3 linked regions of the Caenorhabditis elegans genome follow. The protein of the gene in region 1 purifies or fractionates together with the protein of each later gene. This does not show direct contact. Each region holds a gene or a part of one and is shown in the gene's direction. Other genes may lie near its edges.

The links.
Region 2: the proteins of attf-3 (region 1) and ZC395.5 fractionate together in Caenorhabditis elegans (co-fractionation; one large-scale study listed by BioGRID). This does not show direct contact.
Region 3: the proteins of attf-3 (region 1) and T28D9.16 fractionate together in Caenorhabditis elegans (co-fractionation; one large-scale study listed by BioGRID). This does not show direct contact.

Annotation. Positions count from the first base shown.
Region 1 is NC_003281.10:84,705-88,463, reverse strand, and holds the start of attf-3 (C2H2-type domain-containing protein), read left to right. Parts: upstream 1-2,079; 5' UTR 2,080-2,086; coding exon 2,087-2,257; intron 2,258-2,316; coding exon 2,317-2,437; intron 2,438-2,486; coding exon 2,487-2,695; intron 2,696-3,298; coding exon 3,299-3,492; intron 3,493-3,692; coding exon 3,693-3,759. Other genes in the region: mrpl-40 (Large ribosomal subunit protein mL40), read right to left, coding at 252-416, 459-525, 569-699, 778-900; F54C4.4 (NAM-associated domain-containing protein), read left to right, coding at 1,205-1,277, 1,346-1,515, 1,568-1,684.
Region 2 is NC_003281.10:5,265,740-5,269,132, forward strand, and holds ZC395.5 (Ovule protein), read left to right. Parts: upstream 1-2,108; 5' UTR 2,109-2,131; coding exon 2,132-2,210; intron 2,211-2,610; coding exon 2,611-2,756; 3' UTR 2,757-2,842; downstream 2,843-3,393. Other genes in the region: gro-1 (C2H2-type domain-containing protein), read left to right, coding at 1-88, 144-340, 532-662, 711-804, 1,016-1,123, 1,177-1,274, 1,319-1,391; ztf-8 (C2H2-type domain-containing protein), read right to left, coding at 3,260-3,393.
Region 3 is NC_003280.10:6,473,692-6,477,357, forward strand, and holds T28D9.16 (uncharacterized protein), read left to right. Parts: upstream 1-1,995; 5' UTR 1,996-1,999; coding exon 2,000-2,163; intron 2,164-2,204; coding exon 2,205-2,297; intron 2,298-2,355; coding exon 2,356-2,453; intron 2,454-2,500; coding exon 2,501-2,973; 3' UTR 2,974-3,033; downstream 3,034-3,666. Other genes in the region: Degenerin-like protein del-10, read right to left, coding at 725-953, 1,023-1,083; T28D9.4 (uncharacterized protein), read left to right, coding at 3,268-3,343.

The DNA of each region.
Region 1 (3,759 bases):
TTGGGAATTTTGAAACTTTTAGAAAAAAAAAGTCGAAAATTCCAGGTTTTTCCAGATTTTTGGCAAAATTTTCAAGATTTTACTAATAAATTTCGGTATTTTTGACATTTTCTCAGGAATATTTAAACATTTTCTAAAATTTTGGGCATTTTTCCGAATTTCTAGCAATTTTTAAGATTTTAATGAATTTTCGTGAGTTTTTCGGGTTTTTCATCAATTTTTTGACCATTTTTCTTCAATTTCTCCGCTACCTGAACAATAAGCGGTAAATCCTTGGCTGCTGGCTGTACAGCCGCCTCGTAGAGCTCCAATTTGAGCATTTTCAGCTCATTTAGAGCTTTTCTCTGCGATTCGATGGCTCCACGAATCCACGCGTCATCCTCCTGCTGCAAAGCCAACCGGGAGCGTGTATAATCCTGAAAATCCACGGATTTGAAGCGAAATTCTCAGATTTTTACCTTCAGAGCGATGGCTCGTTCGTCAATTTGCTCCAAGGTGAGCTCGGTGCGTGGGCGGCGGCGTTCTCTGTAAGAATTCCGAGTTTTTAGGCAGAAAATCGCTGAAAAACCCGATATTTTTCGCGGATTTCACGTCCAAAGTGAGCTCATCCACTGGTTTCGGCTTTTTCGAGTGCTTTTGCATCTGACGAATATCCTTTTCCAGCCGTTTTCTGCGTCGGGTCTCTCGCTGCTTTGCTACCTGGAAAATTTTTGAATTTTTTCTCAATTTTTATTAAATTTCCCGTTTTATTCAATGAGTAACTGTAATTTTCTCTACCTCCGGATCAATTTTCTTCTGTCTTTTCATAAAAACCGAGGAGCCGGCGGGAATTGTTTGATGAATTTGGCGGGTTTGAAGTAGGGAGAGCCGGGAGAGGCTCGCAAGCAGGCTGGAGCTCATTTTACCTGGAAAAATTGGAATTTGAAGTGATTTTACATCAAAATCATCAAAATTCTGAAGAAAATAGTCGAAAAAACCAAGGAAACCTCCTAAAAATCAACAAAAACAATAAAAATTTAATAAAATAAATTCCCAAACGACACTCCGCTATCCCACCCCCACGCGTTGTTCACCGTAAATCTACACAAGCTCCGTCTCTCACTTCCCCACACTCTCTCGTCGTCCCTAATCGATTTTCGGACAATTTTCCGCGTTTTTATTGACAATTTTTGAGTTTTAATAAGGATTTGGCAGCTAAAACACTATGGAAACCATTTTCGAAGACGAGGAGACCATGATGGCTGCTGAGCAGAGTTCTTCAGGGATTTCTGCCAATTGTGAGTTTTTTATCAAATTTTTATTAAAATTCAGGTTTTTTTTCAAATAAAATCGAATTTTTTTTCAGCAAATAGCAACTGTAGTGCATCGAAAACCGAAAAAGCGTCGAAAAAACCGAAAAACGCCATTCCAAAAGTCAAAAACTCTGGAATTCACAAGAAACCCGCCAAATCGGACTTTGACGAGTTTCTGAGCAGCATGAAGAGCCGATTATCTCAAGCTACCAGTATGAAAAGCGTACGTTTTTTAGAAAAATAAAATTTCCAACCTAAAAGCCGATTTTTTACAGAATAAAGAGCAACTCAAGATGTTAGAGGAGACGCAGAAGCTTATTTTCGATAGAATCACAAAGTCAGCCGATGCGCGGGATATGGAACATTTGGAGAAGCAAATGAATAAACTTTAAATGTGCTTTCTTTATTTTATTTTTTTTTTAATTTTGTGGCAAAAATCCATGTAAATTTGTGAAATTATGTATCAATCGCTGTCGAAATAAATTATGTATTTTTTTTTTATCATGTATTATTCAAATTTTAGAAGAAAATTGAGCGAAAAACTGCAAAAAAACCGCAATAAATAGCCGAAATAAATTGTAAAATCAAAGGCGCATGACATTTCCCGTCTGTTGGGTCTCGCAGCGCGCGTCTGACGACGCTCCGAATGCCGCCGAAAACATTGTTTATCCTTTTCTTTTTCTCTCCCGCTCTCTCGTTTTTGCATGCTCTCTCGTCTTCGCTTTCGAATTTAAATGGAAAAATGCAAAGAAATTAACGAAATAAATTGAAAAATGTTATTTTTCAGCTAAAAAATGATGAAAAACGATGAGCAGGACGATGTGGACGTGGTGAATGTGCCGACAAATATCGATTTTCAGTGCAATTTATGCGAATACGTCGGGAAATCCGATCGAAGTCTCAGTGCACACAAAAGACACAGACATCCACGGCCAGAAGGTCAGGAAGATGATAAAAAACCAAGGGTAAGGCGGATATTTCAAGATTCTGATTGAAAAACGAAAAAAAATTTAATTTTTTCCAGGGCCGACCGAAAAAATACGAAGATTCTCCGGTTCCACTGCAACGAGTCACCACAAAACAGCTTCTCGGCGGTCGAAAACGTCCGAAAACGATAGTGGAATGTGTGGATGATTCGGCAATAAGTAATAAATCTTTTAAAAAATCTGTGAAAAAACGATTTTTTGCTTCCAGGAACCGATAAAGAAGCTTCTCGCCTTCACGGACTCGGAATTATTGACGAAGAGACTTCCCTTGGGGATTATGTTCGCCGTGGAGCCAATTATCAGCTGATGGGCGGCTCGGACATGAATTTAGACGGAAATTCCATGATTGTCGGCCAAGAAGTGGTTATTGATCATGAGGAAGACGAGGAAAATGACGATAGTCCTATGTTGGATTCGGTAAATCGAGGAAAATTTGTAAATTTCGAGAAAAATTTTCGTGAAAATTGAGCCAAAACTGATGAAAATGGACGAGAATATATATTTAGCATACCCAAAAATGGTCTGCTAAATATTTAGCAGACCCAACTTTGGACTGCTAATTATTTAGCAGACCCAACTTTGGTCTGCTAATTATTTAGCATACCCAACTTTGGTCTGCTAATTATTTAGCATACCCAACTTTGGTCTGCTAATTATTTAGCATACCCAAAAATGGTCTGCTAATTATTTAGCATACCCAACTTTGGTCTGCTAATTATTTAGCATACCCAACTTTGGTCTGTTAAATATTTTGCAAACCCAAAAATGGTCTGCTAATTATTTAGCATACCCAAAAATGGTCTGCTAATTATTTAGCATACCCAAAAATGGTCTGCTAATTATTTAGCAGACCCAAAAATGGTCTGCTAATTATTTAGCAGACCCAAAAATGATCTGTTAAAAATATTTAAATAATTATGTAATTACATTTTAACCCAGAAAAGCCCGAAAAATACGTAAAAAACCGCGAAAAACTCAAATTTCACCTCAAAAACCTGCTAATTCCTTCAGTTTTTCCAGAAATTTGTTCAAAACCGGACTCGAACTGCATTCCGCCGGTACCCGAACGATCGTCTACCGGACAGACTTACCATTGGAGATGCCAACGGAAAATATAAGTGCTATATGCCGGATTGTCTGTGGAAAGGCGGCTATCGATCACTTCGTATGGATCATATGAAAGCGATTCACCCCGAATGGAAAATGCCTTCAAGGTGCTGGAAAAATCTATGATTAACTAGAAAAATCGTGATTTTCGGCAAAATTCGACCTTAAAATCGTGAAAAATGACCTAAAATTGCTATTTTTAGTCGAAAATTGAAGGAAAATGGCAATTTTAACCAAATGTCCCGTCAAAAAATCGAAAATTTCGAATTTTTTGCGAATTTTCACTTTAAAACTCGATTTTTTACAGATTCCTGCTGGAAAGAATCTCGAAAGACGGAAAATACGTAAATCCGGAAGAGCATGTGCCTCAATAC
Region 2 (3,393 bases), 5.2 Mb from region 1:
AAAAAAATCGACGAAAAATCAGCACTTCTTCTACATCCAAATAATCGTTATCGAGTACAGAGAGCATTGCAAATTTTCAGAGAAACTGGTAATTGATTTGCAAATTTCCAGATTAAAAACAAATCAAGTAAAGTTTTTTGCAGGAATCCGAAAAAGTGAACTTGTTGAAAAACAGAAATCAGATGAAACTGTTGATTTGGGTGGACGACTACGATTTGATAATTCTTTAGTTATTTTTATGGATGCAACACCTGAAGTTTTAGAAGAAAGACTTGATGGAAGAGTTGATAAAATGATTAAATTGGGTTTGAAGAATGAATTGATCGAGTTTTATAACGAGGTAAATATTTGAATTTTTCCAGAAAAAAAAAGAAAATTTTTTATTATTTTGTTTTTTTTTCATTCTTTACTATTTTCCAAAAAAGTTTAAACTTTTGAAAACTGTTCAGAAAATGTTCGTGTATTTATTTTAGCTTACTGAGGCATTATTTCATTGTGATTTTTACTATACTCTATAAACTAAATTTTCAGCACGCCGAGTACATAAATCACAGCAAATATGGTGTCATGCAATGTATTGGTCTTAAAGAATTCGTTCCATGGCTCAATTTGGACCCATCAGAAAGAGATACACTCAATGGGGATAAATTGTTCAAGCAAGGGTAATTTAAATTTATTTTCAATTTTTATAAATTCCAAGCTATTTTCAGATGCGATGATGTGAAGCTTCACACTCGACAATATGCACGGCGCCAGAGACGGTGGTATCGATCGAGACTTTTAAAACGGTCGGATGGTGATCGGGTATGTTGATTTTAAAAAAATTGAATTTTTAAAGAACTTTTTTACTAAATTAACAAAGTTATTGGCTGAAAATGGCTGAAAATTATAGTAAAACTAATCAAAAAAATTGAAATTTTGAATTAAAGTCATAAAGTGACGACCAGAAAATTAAAAAAAAACATTTTTCTATTTTAATTAATTCACTCTACTTCACTTTAAAAATAATTTTCAGAAAATGGCAAGTACAAAAATGCTGGATACATCTGACAAGTACCGAATAATTAGTGATGGAATGGACATTGTTGATCAATGGATGAATGGAATCGATCTATTTGAAGATGTAAAATTTCACAAATTCTAAAATTTCCGAATCACAAATTAAAATTTCTACAGATCTCCACAGACACCAATCCAATTCTAAAAGGGTCCGATGCAAATATTCTGCTGAATTGTGAAATCTGTAATATTTCAATGACTGGAAAAGATAATTGGTTTGTTTCAATACATATTATAATTTCGAAATGAATTTTTTCAGGCAGAAACATATCGATGGGAAAAAGCACAAGCATCATGCTAAGCAAAAGAAATTGGCAGAGACTCGCACATAAGACGCTATATTTATTTTTTGTTAACTTAAATTATTTTTGTTGTTGATTGTTCTCTAAATAAAAAAACAGCTCAGAGAGAAGATTAGGCGCTCGTCCACATCTCCGACGATAGTCAACCCGAACGAAGGGAACTATCTTTAATTGTCAGTGATGACGTCATGTCGTCAAGAACTCGTCATAGCTGTGAGAATTGAACCATTATAGATTTGGACATTAGTTTAGGTTATATCCAGTACACTAAATGGTACATGATAGACAGTGTACATTTACAGATTTATAGATTGTCTCAGTGACTAGTTACCGGAAGAGGAGAGGAGAACATGTGGCGATGTCTTTTGGATCGATATTATTCCGTCTGAAAATTGTTCACTAGGGGGACTGCCGATTACCACTTCACATGACGGAACATGTTAGTTAAAATATTGGCTTTTATACACATTTTCAAAATAGCACCTGTATTAGAATATTCAAGAAAAACCTATTCCATGTTATTGCTCCACGAGCAGAAATGCGATACACTGTGTTGCATTCGTAAGTGTTTACCATAAATGTTACCTTATTAATATCAAATAGATAAGAAAAAGCATGTAGAAGATATAATCACGTGTGTCAATCGACCTTCTCCACCCATTTTTGATTGTTTAGATGGTTAGGTACCCGCTAAAAAAAGAATAATATAAAAAGGAAAAGACGAACAATTTGATTGATAATTCATTTGATTGTTGAGAAGAACTAGAAGAATGGACAAATCGACCAAAGATTTTATGGATTTGAAGAAGATTGGTGGTGACGATGAAAGGGAGCGACGTTTCAGTGATGGTTTGTTCTTTTTTAAATGAAAACTATATGTTGATTAATTGCTGTATTAACCCTGAGAATTTACCCAGATTTTTGTCAAAAATACAGTGCCCGGTCTCGATACGACAAATGTTTGTGAATGGTGTGTACCTTTGAAGAGTACTGTAGATTGTCAACAAAAGAAAATATGTTTTACAATTAAATTTCAACAAAATAGAAAAATCAATGAAAATTCCGCAGAAACACAAGTTTCTAACTACAATACTCTTTAAAGTCGCACACCTTTTCGAATTGAACAAATGTTTGTCGTTTCGAGACCGGACGCCTTAGTTTGGTGTAAAAATCGTAAGGTTTTGCGTCTCGGTAATATATTTCAGGTAATTTTCCCCTCTAAAGTTATTGATATTATAAAAATTTTCAGCATCTGATACATCAATGGATTGTCACATGGAATCTATCGGAAGTCGTCGCCGTGACAGTTTAATCGAACAATTCCGCGATTTTTTGAACCGATCAATGGATTTTAGTGTCAAGATTGATGATCCATTTGAAAAAGAAATGTATTAAAATTATATCGTTTTCTTGTTGATTTTTGTAATTTTATATGTTGAAATTGTAATTTTTTGTTTCTGTAAATAAATGTACTTATATTGATTCGAAAATTTTAGATTTAACAGTTTTAGTTTCACTTCCGTATTTAGAAACATGGATTTTTGAATCGAGACTTTGGAGAACGATAGAAGCAATAAAATATTATAAAACACAACACACATGGAATATTCGTTTAAACAGAACGAGAGATTCAACAATTAAAGTCAAACAACAATGGCATTATTTTATTGCTAACTAAAAAGAGATAATTGAGAATTGTTATCTTAGATATGAAACGCTAGGATATACTAACACACAGAAACTAAATTTGATGTTTGAAAGCGAAGGAGATTTAGATTTTTCGAGAAATTTTCTTAAAATTTCGCACAAGCTGATTTGGAATACTGGAAGGTTAAGGGAAATATTTGAAGATTGAACGGTTTTAGAAGGAAAATGCATATATAATATTGATGGCGGCTTTACCATCGAGAGCCTCGATCATCTCGATTGCCACGATATGACGAACGGGAATGATGATTGGAAGACGAAGAATTATATTCGGAACGACGAGAAGATCCTTCAGTTGTTTCAGAATTGTTGTTGTAGTTATTTC
Region 3 (3,666 bases), on another chromosome or scaffold:
ATTTTCAAAAAATTTCAATAGTCAGAAGAGTCTATAAAATCCAGGAATAATTTTTTTAAAAGGACAAGATAAATAATTTGATTCTACTTTAATGTTGTCCAGAGAAAAATCAAAAAAGTACGAGAATATTCACCTGTTTTTTGGTTTTTTTTTTCTATATCTCTCTTTTCAAACAAACAAACATTGAATCAAATTGGAAGAAAAAAATGTAAAAAAATAAGTTGGTAGCTGGAGATTGAGTGTGTAACCAGTAGACATGTGAGCAGTTATGAATTAATGATTGCGGCTCGTTTTCGGATTGAACTCTTTTCGAAAATAAACAGCCGTTTTATTGCTTGTTAGTGCTTTATTCATTGGTTGATAATCAAAAAAGAGTAACACGAGAGCGTGAGAAAAATATACCTTAAAAAAGGAATCAATGACTTCAATCTTTTTCGTCTTATTTCTTCATTCCAGAACTCTTTTTGCTCTTTTTTACTCGATTTCTCAATTTCCCGCCCTCAAAATCACGCGAGCACAAGATGTCGGTGTCTGCAGCACCAGGGTTTAATTTTAGAAGAAGAATTTATGTTTGTTCTGTCTTTCTCAAATGCCATAAAGTATCCATAAATACATTTGATGTCACATTTGACATTTTGCAAACTTTGGGAAGTTTTAATTTTCATTTTTGAAACGGTTTAAAAATATCTGAAACATTCAAAAAAGAAAGAAAGACGCAATGTATCTACACGTAAGAATGTTTATCATCATCCTCTTCGTCAATTTTCTGCTCTTTTCGTGTTCGTCGTTCACGTGGTGGAGTTTTAAAAAGAGGCGGAGCAAGTGCATCTGAAAACTCAGATACTGAAATTGGCTCGGTATCTGGAATTGGAGATTCATCACGAGGATTTGCCTGGGGTGGAGCACGAGGGCTCGAGTAATATCCAGAAGTTGATCCTTCGCGGTTATCTTCTCTGAAAAAAAATCATTTCTTTATGATAACACTTTATAAGAAAAACTCTAAAAACTTGAATTGAACTTACGGTCTATCTGAAGGTGGTGAAATTGTTAAATAGTTGGGGTCATTGTAGTAGTAGTGGTCTTCTGTAAAGTTTAAAATTGATATGAATATTTAATAGCAACAAGTTATTAAGTTCTTGAGGTGCCCCAACGAGATGCCTCAAGATGTAATGTCGACTTTCTAAAAACTAAAGCACAATATGTAATCATAAGGGGATGTGATTGATAAGTACGATATTAGCCCCCATCACGTTTAGATCTAAAATTTAAATTCATTATTTTTTATCAAAAAATATTCTGGCTCAACTTATATTTAGATACAACTAGTTTGAGAATTATCGTGATTTTCCACATTCCAATGTATATGTTCCCATGCTTCCAATTTTGCATTATACTGACTCACTCTCTGCAGTTTCCGATGTTGTTTTGAGAAATTTCCAAGGTTTTACTTTCAATTTTTCAGAAAAAAACTGATTAACTGTCTTTTATGATCCGATAAAAAAAATCAGTAGAGTAGATATTCTTAACTCATACACCCACCACTTCATGTAATCATTGTCGTGTCACAACCAAATCTTGGCAATATCCCAGCCGTCCCCACTCATTTTACGGGATTCTTCCTTTTATACATCAATCTCTGCATTTTCCTTCTTTTCCTCAATCCTCTTCGCTGTTTTTTTCCATATTGCCAATTTTTAAATCTTCCTATCTATTCGTACGTACAATTCTAGTAAAAATATAGCTCTATTCACATTCTCACAAAGTGCTAGATATGTTGAATGTATTTTTGGTTGTTTTGTAGATGAATGAGAATGAATTTATTTGGAGATTCGTATGACAGAAAAGAGAGCAGCAATGCCAGTAGCTCCGTTGGCTTTCACCATTTTTTATGTTTGTTCTTGTTTCTTCGAGAAACGATGATTTTTCTCTCAATTTTTTGGCACGTTCTGACCCTTGAGCATTCCATTTTTTAAATGAGCTGAAAAGGTTTTCAGAAGGCATGGTACGGTGGAAGAAGCCCAAACGATTTCTATGTCGAAAAACTCAAGATTATGAAAGGATTGATGATATAGAAAATAATGATGAAGATTCAGATGATGATGTTATTTTGGAAATAAATCATGACGGGGAACATGAAGATAACTACAGAAATCCCATGATCAGGTACGTATGTAGTTATACTTTTTAAAATATATTTATTGCAGAATGGCATACATACCAATTGTAATAATAGCAGTAATCTATTCATCGTTCATATTTTTCTTCGCTCTATTCATTGAAGCTTCAGCCCACACAAAGTTGGTCCCTATAGTCTTTTTTAGTTTCAATATTGAATTCGATGTTAACAGTTTTCAGCTCAAAATGCAGCGAGGCACATGAAAAGGAAAAAATGTCATCAGGTCTTCTTACACCGCCTATGAAACATATATTAGAAGATCGTACCAAATATAAGAGTGAGTATTCATTTTTATAATATAAAACTGTTAACCAGAATTTTCAGATGAGATAAAACTATTGAAGACGTTTAATGTGCATCTCACTTATTCGACATGGATCAATTCAATTCTTGAAATTCTTGCTCTCATCTACTCATTTCTGTTGCTTTTAGTCGATAGACAGTACCTTTATCCGCTGTCACAAGTAATTCTTTACCTATTCACTCGAATCAATTTCGTTTATACGGATATTTATGGAAGATTCTTCAGTCCGTCAGACGTTGTGGGAGCAATCACAACCGAAGTTATATATGACTTGATTAGGTGGCAGAGCGAATCTAAACTATTTAAAGTGTTCCCTTTCACACCTTGTCCGCTACCATTGTTGTTATTTCCGATTTTCCTATCAATTCTTCAAGTGTTTGCAAATCAGAAGCACACACATGTTTATGAAAGTGAAAGGCTAATGCGAAAGCAAATTAGAGAAAAATATATTCGTGATGGTCCATTGAAATATTACAGGAATATAATTTTGTGATTTCTAGTAACTTTGTTAGTTTCATATAATTGCAATTTTACAATACAATACAATTGTTTTTCTTTTAACTTTTGTAATCAATACAACTTTAAAAACTACTGTATTTAATATTTAATTTAAATAATTAAATTGATTACGGTATGTTTATTTGTGCATAATTACGTGAGCGTGTTTGCGACTGACGCGTCGCGTGCTGCATCGCGGCTTCATTTTGCGAGATTTTTTTGTGTTTTCTCTTGATTTTTTGTTTTAATTGCATTAGTTCAAGCTGTTTTATTGATATTTTTTAGGATAATGACAAGATTTGCTGGCAGACGTCCATTCATTCTCTCGTACCAAGTACTTCGAAGCGGAATCGCGTCTTTTCAGAGTAAGCCATCGCAACTTATTTGTATTTGTAAAGTATCACACCATGGACATTCGGGTGGGCATTCTCATTTCGAAAAAATCCCTTTTGTTTGCATATAAGAATGCACAGTCAAAAATTGTTTTCATGTGGCTACTGCATCTAGTAGATAAGATAGAAATTTAAAATAATATCACATTTTATGTGTTTTGCCCGTTTTTTGATGGGATGATTGTTTCATTTAAAAGATCAACAATTATCTAGATATACCAGCCACTTATTTTAAACACTAATAAGTTTTCACACAAAAAGGTATTTCGTGGAACGAAAATTCTCAGTCTCGTGGT